Linked DNA regions of Pelodiscus sinensis. The protein of the gene in region 2 purifies or fractionates together with the protein of the main gene of each other region. This does not show direct contact. Links are inferred from orthologs where the notes say so. Each region holds a gene or a part of one and is shown on either strand. Other genes may lie near its edges.

The links. Proteins that work in one complex are often made in the same cells at the same time.
Region 1: the proteins of DYRK1A (region 2) and TROAP purify together in Homo sapiens (affinity purification with mass spectrometry; 6 studies listed by BioGRID and IntAct, with this or other methods). This does not show direct contact. The link is inferred for Pelodiscus sinensis from reciprocal best matches to the Homo sapiens genes DYRK1A and TROAP.

What each region holds. Positions count from the first base shown.
Region 1 is NC_134729.1:4,785,610-4,792,880, reverse strand, and holds the start of TROAP (tastin), read left to right. Parts: upstream 1-4,244; 5' UTR 4,245-4,366; intron 4,367-5,479; 5' UTR 5,480-5,530; coding exon 5,531-5,761; intron 5,762-7,271. Other genes in the region: PRPH (peripherin), read left to right, coding at 111-331, 494-543, 896-975, 1,416-1,463. UniProt on the Homo sapiens protein: Could be involved with bystin and trophinin in a cell adhesion molecule complex that mediates an initial attachment of the blastocyst to uterine epithelial cells at the time of the embryo implantation.
Region 2 is NC_134711.1:186,526,563-186,534,095, reverse strand, and holds the start of DYRK1A (dual specificity tyrosine-phosphorylation-regulated kinase 1A), read right to left. Parts: upstream 3,057-7,533; 5' UTR 2,507-3,056; intron 2,449-2,506; exon of another isoform or gene 2,180-2,448; intron 1-2,179. UniProt on the Homo sapiens protein: Dual-specificity kinase which possesses both serine/threonine and tyrosine kinase activities. Exhibits a substrate preference for proline at position P+1 and arginine at position P-3.

The DNA of each region.
Region 1 (7,271 bases), on a different chromosome or scaffold from region 2:
CAGCTCCCCATGGTGGGGAGCAGCTGGACCAGCATGGGTGGTAGGGGGAGCAGGGAGAGACCAGCCCCCTTTGGAGCCAGTCTGACACCTGCCCTCCCTGCTGTGGCCAGAACGAGGCGCTGCTGCGCCAGATGCGGGAGCTGGAGGACCAGTATGGGGTGGAGCTCGGCAGCTACCAGGACACGGTGGGGCGGCTGGAGCAGGAGATCCGGCACATGAAGGAGGAGATGGCGCGGCACCTGCGCGAGTACCAGGACCTGCTCAATGTCAAGATGGCGCTGGACATCGAGATTGCCACGTACCGCAAGCTGCTGGAGGGCGAGGAGAGCCGGTGGGTGCAGCGCTGGGGGCACAGCTCTCCCAGCATCTGTTGCGAGAGGGTGGGGCTGTTCCCGCCCCCCCTCCCGCCCCCCCTCCCATCCCCCCGGGGAGGGCTGGGGAGTGGAGGATAAGCAGGGTCCTACCACTCACTGTACTTTTTGACCCTCCCTAGGATCTCGATCCCCATCCACTCGCTGGCCTCCTACAGTGTGAAAACTTCAGGTAAGTGCGTGCCAGATATGGAGGGGGGGATCCCCCTGTGGGTACCTTCCCCAGGAGTCTCACCCCTCCCCGGTCAGTTGTCGTGGGCTCCCCACATCTCTCCCTAGGTACCTGGGGAGTTGCTGGCCTCTGCCATTGTGTGGGGTTGGCCTGGGAACTGACGGGTTGCGGCAGATCCATATGGCCAGCAGTACAGCCCATTGGGGGATCTTCCCTGGGGGACCCCTGCTGTGACCAGAGTCTATTGTCCTGGGGCACACCCACCCCAGGGCATGGAGGCCTCACCTGGGGATTGGGGGTTCAGTGGCTGCAGCCACTTCCCTTCTCATGGCCTTCCTGTACCCCCTGCTAGCACCTGAGCCGGAGCAGACTGTGGAGAGCCACACCAGGAAAACCGTTCTGATCAAAACCATTGAGACCCGGGATGGAGAGGTGAGTTTCCTCCCTGCCCCCCCTTGGGACATGGGGGTGAGGAGAAGAGAAGAACAGGGAGTAGTCAGCCTGGAGTGTGCCAAGCCTAGGGTAGCGGGGGCTTGGGGGAGAAGCTCAGGGCATGCCTAGGCCTGTGAAGGTTCCCGGGGCGTCCAGCTGTCATTCAGACCCAGCATTACAGGAGCATGCAGAGAAAGTGATGTCTAGCAGTTGGCGCTGGGAGGCAGGACTCCTGGGTTCCGTACAAAGCTATGGGGGAACATGGGTTAGTGGCTAGAGCGGGGTTCTGCTCCTACCCCTGCCCCTCTGTGCTGGGCAGCAGGCTCAGGGGCTTGTGGGCAGGCCTCCAAGATCCTCCATGGCAGGGAATGTAGCCAGGCATGGGCTGAATGGGATCTAACCGTGGGCTCTCTGTTCCATCCTGCCCCCCGCCCCGCTAGGTAGTGACTGAGTCAAGTACGGAGCAGAGCACTGATGTGGAGAAGTGATCCTGGTGCTGGGCCGCTGCCCTGGACCGAGGCGACAGTGTGAAACTGACTTGTAGAAGCCACTGCGAGACCCCTGCTGCACCTGCCCTCCCCCCAGCCACACTGGCCTTATTACTACAGATACCTCTGACAGCTCTGCTGCACTGCCCCGTGCCTCCAGCCCGCCTACCCTCGTGGTGTGCCCAGAGCACCGAGAGCACAGCAATACCCACTCACAGCCCAGGGCAAGGAGGAGAGGGGCCCTGCCTCCAGCTCTCCCCATCCCTCTGCCCTCTCACTGCATGCTGTTTCCCCGATCTCTCCCCCATCCTGTGCTTTTGGCTCTGGGCTGGTTTTTCCTTCCCTGCTCTACCGTTGGGCGTGACTGACCTTCCCAGACTACGTGTACTGAGCCACAGGGCTGTGGTTAAACAGAGTAGGATCCTACACCCCCTCCAGCTACAGCCTAGGCCATGCGCTGCCTATACAGATCCCAAGACCACTCCCACGTCCCTAGAGCAACTGCTGTGAGCATTCCGCAGAACCGGTCCTCCTCCGTCCCATCATGTTTCCAGCCCCAAGGCAGAGGCTGCCTGAGTTTGGTACCAAAGAGGAGTCTGCTCCTGAATTGGACTCCACAGAGGAGTTGTCCTCGTTCCACTACCAAAGCAGGATGCTGGCCCCTGGCAGCTGTGCCTCGGGCTGCTGCCCAGCAGTGCTCCTAGTAGCAGAGATGCCTGTTGGAGTGGTGATACCAAGATCTGACTGCAATTCTGTGTTGGCTGGTCTCCAGCCCAAACACAGCCGGGCCCCCTGATTCCCAAAGCTCTGTTTTAGTACAGAAGAAACGAATTGCAGGGACTGCTCAGCAGGGCTGGATTCCTACCCCTGGCACTTGCAGCCTGGATTCCTGCTCCCTGGGTACAATCCCAGTATGCCTGGCAGATGGGGAAGCTGTTCCTAGTCCCAGTGCTGCTGTCTCTAGTGTTAATTCTCCTGGATGCTGCAGCATATCCTGTTCTGGCATTGCCTAGAGCTGCCATCAGCTCTAGACAACAGGGCTGAGTGAGCCTGGGGATGAAGGGGGTGAGTAATACCTAGGCCCAGTTGCTGAGGGTGAAGGCCCTTGTGCCCAGGGTACTAGTCTAATAGTGACAGCCCAGTCCTGTCCTGGAGTGTCTCTCCCTAAGGAGGCCTGCTGTGGTGCTGAGTCTCCATTCTCATTTTGATAGGGATCCCCGCCTGTCCATTAGCACTTGTGTTGCTTTGATTTTTGGACACATGCTTAGTTGTCAGGGCCTGAGAGGGAAAGAGTTTCTTCTGGGGCCTTTCAACCCTGGCTCCACTGCTGGAACAGATGTGTGGAATGATGTTTCCTGCTGCTATCCCAGCTCAGGGGAGAGTCCTGAGCCCCATACTGGCTGCTGATACTCAGCCCTGCTTCTAAGCAGGCAAGTCCTAAAAGACTGTGCTCCACTATCATTCCCACATTTCTGTCCTCTGGCCGCCTTCCCTCCACGCAGTGCCTCTGACTTTCAGACCCACTTTCCTTGCCTTAGCTCTGCCTTCGTTAACCAGGGGGCTGCGATAGGATCTCTCACCCTGCTGGACCAAGACACACGGGAGGCTGTGAGCATAGTTGCTTTGGTGCTCCTGGGTCTTCCCTGATCTGCCTGAATGGTGACACTGGCCCAGTGCTCGGCCATGGTGTTGAATGTGTCCTGTCCTGCTTTTCCAGCCACTAAAGGTCATAGCGAGGAATGTGCGTGTCTGCTTCTCATCTATGCCTCCTTATCCCACCGTCTGAGATCTCCACCTTCCAGTGGCTGAGTGTGGTGGGAGGGCAGGGGAAGAGACCTCAAATTCGACCCTCATTGGCAGTGCCAACCAGAGGGCTGAGCTGTCGGCTCTTAGCCTTAGTGGACAAGGGGGGCTATCCAAATTAACCTCACTCTGCTTGGACCTAGCAAACCTCCCACTGGGAGGCGGCCAGCCGCCCTGCTTGTCCCTTCGAAAAGGTGCTGGGGGTAATGGGTGAGGGGGAGCTTGTCCAGGCTGTGCCTGTAAGGGTGGGAAGAGGTTGGCTTCAGACTAGGCCCCCCAAACTGCTGCCTACATGCGCACGAGTGCCTGTTTGCCCCTTCCGCTCTGCTCTCGTCCTGGGCCAGCTCCCCACTTCCGGGGAGGAAGGCGTCCAGGCGGGTGGAGCTGTAACCCTGCAGCCCAGGGAGGCGGGAACACAGGGAGTTGTGGACACAGCAGCGCCGTGGGGCTGAGTAAAGTGATGCCTGGGTGGCAAGACCTTGGACCACGGCATGACGTGGCACCGTGGCACGTGGCTGCTGTCTGACGTGGCACCGTGGCACGTGGCTGCTGTCTGACGTGGTACCCTAGGGGGAGCCCTCGCAGGGGGGGGCACCTGTGGCTGACTCCAGCTGGTGAGGGGGGGGCATGATCCAGGGCCCTCAGGGGAGGGGCTGAATTTCCCCAGCTTAGCTCCTGTCTTCAGCCCCCCCACCCTCGGAGGACTCCCCCCTCCCCCCCCCCAGCCCATGAGCCCACCGCTCTACCCATGCACGTCTCTATGGTCTAGCCTCACCCCCCCCCCCCATAACTCCCTTCAGCTCAGATCTCGCGAGACATCAACTTCAGCTGGGCGAGTGCGCCCCGCCTCCCCCGCGCCTGATAGGGCAACACGGGCGATGACAGGCAGCGGCTTTGGACAGCGCCGACCAATCCGTCCCCGCAGCTCCGGCTGTCGCCCGGGCCCCGCCTCCCTTGCTCCCGATTGGCTCTCTCTCCGCCGACTCCGCCTCCAGCTGGAGGAAGGTGGCCAATCAGCTCCCTTGGTGTTTTACAAACCGGCGGCGACCCGCAGAGCGGCTTTACCCGGCCCCGAGCGGAGCGGATGCGACTGAGCCCAGGTGGGGGCGGGCGAGCTTATGAATGGGGGAGCGCGAGGGTATCCGAGGGGTCCCTGGCTGGGGGGGGCCGGGGGGCGCAGAGGGGGTGCTCCTATGGGTGATGGGCTAGGATTTTGGGGGGGCTTGATGGGGTGCGCACCCCGGGGAGGGTGTGTGGGTGTAGGGGGGGCCCCGGGGGGTGCTCCTATGGGTGATGGGCTAGGATTTTGGGGGGATGGTGGGGCACGCACCCCGGGGAGGATGTGTGGGTGTAGGGGGGGACCCCGGGGGGGTGCTCCTATGGGTGATGGGCTAGGATTTGGGGGGGGCTTGATGGGGTGCGCACCCCGGGGAGGGTGTGTGGGTGTAGGGGGGGACCCCGGGGGGGTGCTCCTATGGGTGATGGGCTAGGATTTGGGGGGGGCTTGATGGGGTGCGCACCCCGGGGAGGATGTGTGGGTGTAGGGGAGGCTCCGGGGGGGGGTGCTCCTATGGGTGATGGGCTAGGATTTTGGGGGGATGGTGGGGCACGCACCCCGGGGAGGATGTGTGGGTGTTGGTGAGTCTGTAGGGGTTGGGGGGCCCCTGTGGGGCGGGGTGCTGCTGAGCTCCCTGACAGCCCTGGGGTTGGGTGTGTCTCCAGGCTGTGGCTCATCAGGTGGGTCCCTGGGGCCCAGTGGAGGGGGGGGGTGCTGAAAAGGCTGTGGGCAGTCATGGGCAGTACAGAGCGGGCTGGGGGGCGGCGGAGATCGCGAGGGGGTGCAGACTCCAGGACCTTGTTGGCCTTGCTCCTTGGGGAGTGGGGGAGTCTCCCCTAGGGGCTGTGGCGTTAAATGCCAGGGAGAGAGCCAGGGACTGATGCCGAACCTTCACTACTGTCGCTCCCTGGCTGGCCCAGCGATCCGGGCTCTGTGCTGCAGTGTTAAATGCAGGCTCCTTGCTTTGGGCTGTAGCCAGTCCCCCAGCCAGCTCCGGAGGGACTCCGCGCTGGTTATTGCTGCCAGCCTAGCTCTAGCCACGGGGCCTGACTTGAAGAACCTGCGAAGGGGTCTCCTCTGGCCTGGTGGGGAGGTGGTGATGCACTCTGGTTGCATTGCAAGGCCGTTCATCTCCTGGGAGCATCTCTTTCTCCAGGTGCAAATGCCAGGAAAGGTGCTGCAGTGCTGAGTGGTGCAGCTGTCAGAAATGGCGCAGATTGGGAAGGGTCCAGAAGCGGTTTCCTTTGCCCGCCCACCACGGGGCAAGTGGACAGGCAGCTGTTCCCCCGCCAGGAGCGGACCACAGCCAGGGAAGGAGAATGAACCATCTGCCTGGGATGGGTCAGGTGCACAGAGCTGCAGCAAGATCCCTGTCCTAGCCAAAAGCCGCCTGCCCCCAGACTTCCAGCAACTGCACCAGACCTGGGAGAGCCAGAAGGTGAATGGCGGGTGAGGGGGAAGGTTTGGAGCCCTACCGTAGACCAGCCGCAGAGCATAAGTTGTTGGCTCTCCCTATGCTTGGGGGATAGCATCAAGGGAAAACACCTAGGCTGTGTCTACACTGGGACACTTATTCCGGAAAAGCAGCCGCTTTTCCGGAATAAGCTGCGAGCTGTCTATACTGGCCCCTTGAATTTCCAGAAAAGCAGTGACGATTTACTGTAAGAAATCAGCTGCTTTTCCGGAAAAACTATGCTGCTCCCGCTCGGGCAAAAGTCCTTTTTCCGGTAGACAGCACAGTAGTCTTTTCCGCAAAAAAGCCCCAATCGCGAAAATGACGATCGGGGCTTTTTTCCAGAAAAGCGCGTCTACATTGGCCACGGATGCTTTTCCGGAAAAAGGGCTTTTCCGGAAAAGCATCCTGCCAATGTAGACGCTCTTTTTCCGGAAATACTTATAATGGAAAACTGTTCCGTTTTAAGCATTTCCGGAAAAAGGTGCCAGTGTAGACACAGACTTAGGGCGTGGTTGAGATACCGCAGGGGCCTCTCCGCCAGGCTGGCAAATGAGGATCTAGGCTTCAGGCACACTTATCCTGCTTGGGGGTGGGAGCTGGTACCCTCTTCTCTCTTGCAACATGCTGGCTTCCCAAACCGGGTTCTGGTGCCTCCTTACCACCACTGAGTCACAGACCCCCTCTTAACTGGGGCAGACCAAACTCTGGTGCCAGGGAAGGGCAGAGTGAAGTGTTAACTGTCCAGCACATTAGCTGTTGATCAGAGCTTAAAATGCCCCTTGGGGCACTTGTTAGCAGAGAATCCAACTGGTGCACCTGAGTCTGGCTGGTCCTGTGTTCTTTGTGATGTCCCCTCTTTGGATCATTGTGTTTTGGCTGTGATCCTCTGGCAGAGATGAGACCAATCAGCTTTCAGGGTGTTCCAAGCCCCTCCTCTTCTCCCTCTTGCTGGGGTGCTGGGCTCCATGGCACAAAATAGCCCACATTTGTTGTGCTGCAGCTTTGAGTGATTTTTTCCCTGTTGCCCTGACAGCCTCAGGGCTATGGATGGTCTGGTGGAGTGCTCCGAGTGTCAGAGAGATGGGTCTACAATCTGTGTTGAAATGAACAGGGTGTTGTGTGGAGAGGAGGGAGGGAGGCAAACCCCTGGGGTCTGTACTTGGCTTTAGGACAGAGAGCGTGGTGTTCAGGGCAGGCACTGGGAATCCGGCCTCCTGGGTTCCATTCCCACCTCAGTGACTCTGTGATGTCAGGCAAGTTGCTTCCTTTCTAAGTGCCTCAGTTTCCCCCTTCCCCATAGGGATGTGCCTCTTCCTACTTATGCTTGTGGCAGCAGGTAAAGCCCAGGCCGGCTCGCCACACTGCCAAGAACGGGCCACCACATCCAAGCTGGTGGCTGCCGGGCAGTGAAAGGCTCCAGCAGCTCCTCTGCGCATGTGGGAGGCACCACTTGGGTGGGTAGAGCCATGTAGGGGACGTGCCTGGGGGGATG
Region 2 (7,533 bases):
CTCAAGTTTTTATGGGGATGATCTATCCCCCTCACTACCTTGGGAAATATTGCACTTATATTCTCTCTGCATGGCATGCTTAGTTGTTTCTGAGGAGTTTACAGATCAGGTCAGAAATTGTTATTAAAAGATCAGCACAATATATACTAGAGATAATTCCTCTCTCCTTCCAATAACCAGTGAAAAAGAACATATTCCCCTTATCAGAACTACTTGTTTACTTACTTTCTCATAGATTTACAACCACACACAACAAAAACCCCACACCACAAAATTAGGAAAGTTTTCAATAGGAAAGCTCTCAAACAGACATTCTTGTAGCAAAAAGCACCACACTATATACATATCCTACCTTTTTGTTTTTGCTCATTCGAGTTACCATAATTGACCTCACAACTCTTTCACCTGTTGAGACAGTCTAAATGTTTCAATTCAGTTAAAAGTTTCTCTTTAAACCCTTTTCTAGACTAAGATTTAAAGATGGGGTACTACCATGTTAGAAAACACATACCATTTTAAAAAGTCTAGTCTAGACAAGTTAAATTGCTTTATAATACAGGCTAAACTTGTCAAGTTAGTGCATCTTGTCCAGACCATTACCTAACATGTGCTAACATCTACACAGAGCCCAAAACTTTCAAAAAAAAGACAGATGCTTAACAGACCACATCACTATCACCTTACACATAGTGTGAATACTATTGGCATGTCGTTGGACTTTTTTGAAGCACAAGTATCAGAGAAATCTCCTTGCCTCTACTACTTACTAAAACCATCCTCACTCACTCTTCTTTACTCAAATTGGCCACTAAAAAACAAGATAAGTTCAAAACCTACACAAATCTTATTTCAGTAAATATAATAAAGTTACTGACATAAATTGTGTCCTACCATATTTTTGTTAGCCTGGAAACGATATCAAAGTACTTTTTATTTAGCAAACACTTGTACAGTATCTAGAAATAAGAAACTGTTCCTTTTGTAAAGCTATAAAACTAATTGCTCTCTTTCATTCAACTTCTAAACCAGATGCATTCACTTTGCACATTAACTTCAAGATACAGGTATGAAGCACTGTTAAGTTAGACACTTACGATAAATGCCAAAAAAAGTAATAGAAAGAAAAAATAAAACTTATGCACACTTTATATCAATTACATTAAACCTCAAATATAGAAAACACCCTTGTTGCAGGTACCTCTTCATATGAGCTGATGACACCAAAACCAATCTACAGAACAATTTATATATTTAATAAATTCGCTGAACACATGAAAACCAGTAATCAGACTAGTAACATTTAACATTCAAATACTGGAATGTAGTTACTAACACATCAGACCCAAAAGAGTATAATTATTTCAACAGTATTCTGCAGTTACCAAAAATGAGGATTTATCAGAATACTTCCGGATTCTTAAGGAAGCTTCATTTGGAATAAGTTAAAAAAAACAACCTGATAGCAATATAATGATAAAAATAGTTAATTTCTATTTGTACAGAACCTTGAGCACTGTCCATTTAAAAGTGACTGTAATACTTGCAAGTGTTTGGAAACACATACCATTTTATCTGCACGTTATCTCTGGGATGCAAATAAGTCATATATTTTATCCTTGTCGATTTTTAACAAGTTCTCTCTATTTATTAGCTAAAAACACCTCCGTTTGATTTTTTCCTGATGACTGGAGAATAATGAAAGCTAAGCAGCACCAGCATTCAAGATTCTTGATCAAAGAATCCTTACACAGTCCTTGGAAAGACTAAACTAGAAACTACACAGCTGAGAGAGTCAGAAACACATCATTATTGGAATGTCTAGTTACAGTACTTTAGTTGCAGTTTTGGACTTTGTTAGCAAAAGAGCTGCTTTACAGCAAAAACGTTTATTATCTCAAATGCATGATGTATGTTTTCTAGCTTCTTTAGCAACACAGCCAAACACTGCAGCTAGCTAACGACTAGAAGACGTGCACTCTGTGGGTTTTCCAAAATGACAGTAACGTGACAAGTATTCCCACCATCCCCACCTCCAACTTCCACACCTGACACAGAAATCGCGAACCCGAGTGCAGACGGGGCACTTCAGCCCACCACCACAACAGGTGCCTGCTCTGTTCAACTTCTGACTCGTTCCCGGCCTAGGGGGCTGCGGAAGAGCCCGACCCATCTCACCTACCATAAGGTCACAGCCGGAGAGTCCTGCCATCCCCTTCCCACTCCGCAGCCGGGATCATCGCCCCGCTCTCCCAGCCCCCGGGACCAGAACGACAAGAGCAGCCCTGGCCGGGCAGCGGGGGCCGCAGAGCCCAACACCTTCATGCCAGGGAGAAAAAGGTGTTGCGGCCGCCCGGCCAGACCCAGCCTCCCCAGGGCGGCGCGGGTGCAGCGGGCCCGGCCCGGCAAGCTGGGGCGGGGACTCCCCGGCCCCTTGCTCTAAGATGGCAGCGGGGCTGTCCCCGCGTCGAGGGGCCGGCATTAGCGGAGCCGGCGCCAGGGCACTTACCCGTGTGGGGGCGGCGGCGGCCTCTGCTCTCCTGCCCGGCTGCCGTCGGGGGCCGGTCCCGGCAGAGGCCTCCTCTCGCGAGCTGCGGGGAGGCGGCAGCGGCTGAGCCCGGCGCTTCCCCCGCCTCGGCCAAGAGTCCCAGCACCGCAGCGCGTCCGCTCCGCCAGTCCCGCCGCCCTCGGGCCCCGGTTGTGGCGCGGGGCCCCGGCCCCGGAGGGAGCCTGCAACGCGCCTCCCTCTCGCGGGGAGTCGGGGGGGGGGCCCGGCCCGGCGGGCGGATCCGCGGCGCTTCCTGGCCGGGCAGATTTTCTATCGCTCACAAAATGGCGCGCGTTCCAAACCTGCGCAGCCACCGGCGGCAGCCGGGCCCGGACGCGGCGGTGGCGGCGGCGGCCCGAGCCCCGGCCAGGCAGCTCGCAGACAGCGGCGCGAGCGAGGGAGCTGGCGGACGGGCGGGGGGAGCGCAGCGCCGAACCGAGCCCCCGGGAACTCCTCGCTCACTTGCCCGCCCGCTCTCCCCTCCCTCCCCGCCCCCCCTGCTCCTCCCCCTCCCCCCTTCCGAGCCGGCTTCTCCAGGGCTGTTCTCCGGACCGCTCCTTGCCGCGCCCGCCCGCGCCGCCGCCCCCTCCCCCCGTCCCCTCTCTGCCGCCGCCAAGGGACGGAGCCCCTAAAACCCGCGAGGACGGTTTCCTGGGTAAAATTATAATTCGAGCGGGAAGGGAAAATTATTTGAAAAAAAAAAAACCCAACTGACAAAATGGCGACGGGACAAGCCTGTTACTATGGTAACTGTCAATCACGGCGGGAGGCCGCGCTGACGTGAGGAGGGGGAGAAATGGGCGAAGGCGGGGCTTGGTTGCCGTGGCAACTGGTGCCTCTCTCTCTCTCTCTCTCTCTCTCTCTCTCTCTCCCCGCTGCCACCGGCGTGTGACGTTCCGAACTCGGAGGTGCCGCCGCAGCCCGGCTTGTCCCTGGCGCGGGACCTTGCGGACACAGGGGGAGCGCGCGCGCGCGCCCCGCGCCTGCCTGGGCAGGGCTCGGAGCCGCTGCATCCTGCGCACAGCGGCGGGAGACGCCTCCGCCTCTGCTGCCCCCGCCCCTGGGCCTGAGCCAGCGGGATCTGGCGCATGAGCGCCTGCAGGCAGCCGCCGCCGCACTCACCCATTCCTCCCGCAGCAGGCAAAGAAGTTTCTAGCGTGCAGTTGTGGAGAAACCCCCCTTTCGGCGCTTTCCCGCAGGATTAAGCCGGGGGCAGCGCTGCCTGCCCGGCTCCGCGGGCAGCTGAGCCAGTACCTCAGCTGCTAAGTTAAACTTCGGTATGGACGGTGGCTGCTATAAAGAAAGAAACCTACAGCGGGACGAAGCGATGAGCAATAGCAGAAGGCAGCCCTGCAGCAGTTAGTCACTAGGGAGGAGGCCCTAAATGGAGAGGAGAAGGAAGAGGTAGCAGATGCAAATTTGCTACTCTCAGCTTTCTGGCTGCTGCAGAGACCATAACCCAGGGCTTTCAAACTCAGTTTATATTAGGGCCAGTGCCAGTCCTCATATCTTCCTAGTGGGCACTTCAGTCTGGCAGAGCTGCAGGGGGAGAGGTCGGCACATGTTCTCCCCCTGCCTCACCTGCTGCCCTGCACACTCCTTCCCCCTCCTATGAATCCCCTAGCTCTGACTGTCCCCTTGCTGATTTAAGCCCCATCCCCAGCTGCCACCACAGGTAAGGCAGCGGGACTAGAATGGCTTCCAGATGTTAGCTCTGGGCCACTGCAGGTATGTCTCTGTGGCCTTGGGGAGGTATGTGCAAAGGTACTCAGGTTAGCTTGTGGGGACTTGGGCAGGCTGTCCCTACATTCACCACAGCAATAGGACCTGTGGGGAGTGGAACTGAGCAGCAGCCTGTTTTGGTCTACCCCCATCTCCCAGGCCAGTCCCGTATTGGGGCACTCCACTTTCTGCTGCTAAGGTGAAGCAGAGTGACAGGGCTGACCTGGGAGATGGCAGTGGAGCAGAGCAGTTTCTGCATTGCTTCGCTTTCTTAAAGCTCCTGTCACTGCAGTGAGTGCAGGGGACCCCATCTTCCTCCCTGCATTAGGCCCTCTGGTAATCCCCAAGGCCACATAGCTCAGGGGAAGAGGCTTGAGGTAAGGGGTGCAATGGAGGGGAGAGGGCAGAGCAGGGACTGGATTTGCGGGAAGGGTATGACCACCATCTAAGGGCCACAGAGAATCACATGCCAGCAACTGTGCATGGGCCAGATTGTGGAACTGCTCAGGTGCAGATGGCTCCCAGTGCTGTGAGTTTGAGACCCCCGTCCTAATCAGCAAGTTTGGTTAGGAGAATAGAATTCCTGCAGCCTTAGACAGTACTTTATAGGGGCTTGTCCTGCCCCTGGATTCCTCTTTCAGCCCCCAAATGCTCTCCCTGTGCCTCAACTCTCACACTCCCTCCCAAAGCCTGTACCCCCAGATTTCCTGCACCCCAAATCCCTCCAGCGCCTCACCTTTCCTGTACCCAAACTCCATCCCAGAGCCTGTATCTCCTGTGCCGACCCAGAGCCTGCACATAGCACCCAAATTCCCTCTCAGAGCCTTAAACAGTTGGAGGAGGAAGAGCGTGAGTGCCATTAGAGTGCAGGCTCTGGCATTCTGGACATCACCAAAATTTCTGCCTATGCCTGCAGCCCTTGTGTAGGGTATTTATCCTTGTTTTTAGACCACATTGGGCAATAAACAGCCCATGGACTGGATGCAGTTTGCCAGGGTTAGTTCTTGGCAGACTACCAGACACTTTGTTTAGCTGCACATCTACAGGTACAGTGGGTCACAGCTCCTGTTGGCCATGGATCACTATTCCTGACCAATGGGAGATGCTGGAAGCGATGCATGCCAGGACAGTTTCCCACAGCTCCCAGTAGCTGAGAGAGCAATTCACAGCCACAGAGAGCTGCAAGCAGCCATTCCAGTGGATGTGCAGGTAAATAAAGTGTCCCTGCCTGCCAGGAAACTGTGTCTGGTCCGCAGGCTGCTTATTACCCACCTGCATTTTAGACAATGGGTGGGGAACCGATGGCCCCAGGGGTGAAGCAGGGTCACTTTTAGACAATGAGTGGGGAACTGATCCCCAGGACTCCACCCCCAGCAGCTGGGAGCCCGGAGCCTTGGGGGACAGAGTTAGGCAAGGGAAGGCCAGATTCAACTCAGGGGCTCTGCCTGGGGGAGGGAAAGAAATGACTCCACATGCTGCCATTTCCATTCTCCCTGCTGCCTGGAGAATTTTCTCCCACTACTCTGATTGGCTATACTCACAGCCAATAGGAGCAGCAGGGGACACCGAACCCTGTGCATTCCTGGGGAGCTGTGCCAGTTAAGTGCCCCCCATCGCTCAAACCCCGCACTCACTCCTGCTTCTGGACCCCCCTCTTGTCCAGATCTTTTACCCCCAGCCCGCTCCTGCACCCCCTCCTTCCCAGACCCTCCACTTCCACCCTGCTTCTGAACCCCCTCCCATCCAGACTCTCCACTACCAATCTCCAGCCTGCTCCTGTACCCCCACTCCCACCCAGATCCTGTACCCTCACTCCACTTCTGCATCTTACTTCCTGCCCAGCCTCACCACCCTACCAGACCCCACATCCAATGCATGCTTCCAGGCAGCCCTCTCAAACACACTGAACCTCTCATTTTTAGCCTCACCTCAGAGTTTGGGGGCCCCACAAAATCTACTAGCTTAAACCCCCAGGCTCTGATGTACAAGGGGATTGTGGGAAGAGTCTGCTTCTCAGTTGGAGGCTACCACAGTGAACTGTGAGGTTTTTGTTTGTTTTGTTTTTGTTTGCTTCTTCCTTTTGTGCAACCCCCCAACTGATTTTTCTGTGGGTCAGTGGCCCCGACTCAAAAAGGTTCCCCATCAGTTTTAGACTCTGACTACCCAAAACCTGCAGTGCAAGAATGATGAATAATGTCCTCCAGAGACTGCACCTGCTCCTCTCTTTCTTTTCCTGCAGTGGGAAGGAGCTGGCATCTATCTCACTGAGGCATTTTTCTGCACAACATAGTTCCTACATACTATTCTATGCTGTGGGGTCCTAGGTTTAGCCCCTGTTGTAACATCTGATTCGAGTTTCTATCCCAGCATATGAGTGGATGAGTGTAAGGGAGAAATTGGTGGAATCCATTTAGGTTGACAACTATCTAATGCAGTGATTCTCATCCTTTTTCCTATGGAGGAACCCCTAAAATAATTTTTCATATCCCGAGGAACCCCTACCTAGGAAAACGTTTGTGTGGTCAAAAATAGTTGACAGTGGGGAGTGCAATTCATTACTGCTAAATGCAGAGAATTCTGGTAAGTGGAAGGGCAGGCACAATACAACTAAATATAACCTTAGATACAAACTGACCAAAACAAAGAGGCAGTTGGTAGCCTACGAAGATTACTCTAGTATTGCCAATTGCCGGACAAAAATTCCTGCGATATTTCGAGGGATATTTGGAATTGTTCACAGTATTTCAAAATTTGTATTTATTTATACCATGATTTCTCGTGGAACCCCTGACCATGGTCTGCGGAACCTCAGAGTTCCGCAGAACCCTGGTTGGGAGAAACTGATCTAATGGCACAAACTCAGACTCCTTGCCCCAGTATGCCCCTTCAGAGGCCCTGCCTGCTCACTCCATTTCCCCTACCTCACTCTTCCTTCACTTTCAGTGGGCTGGGGCAAGTGGTTAGGGTACAGGAGGGGGTGTGGTTCAGAGGATGGGAGGGCTCTAGTCTTGGGCAGTGGGTCTGGTGCAGGAGGGGGTCTGGGCTCTGGAAGGGGGCTCAGGATGTGGGGACTCCAGCCAGGTAGCACTTACCTCAGGTGGCTCCCAGTCAGTGGCATAGTGAAACTAAGACAGGCTCCCTGGCTCCATGCTGGTCCTGAAAGCTCCTGCGGGGGGAGTGTGCAGGAATGGCCTCTGTCCACAGGCCTGCATGTTGCCTGCAGTGGCTGCCCCCACCGTTCCTATTACTGCAGTTGCTGGCCAATG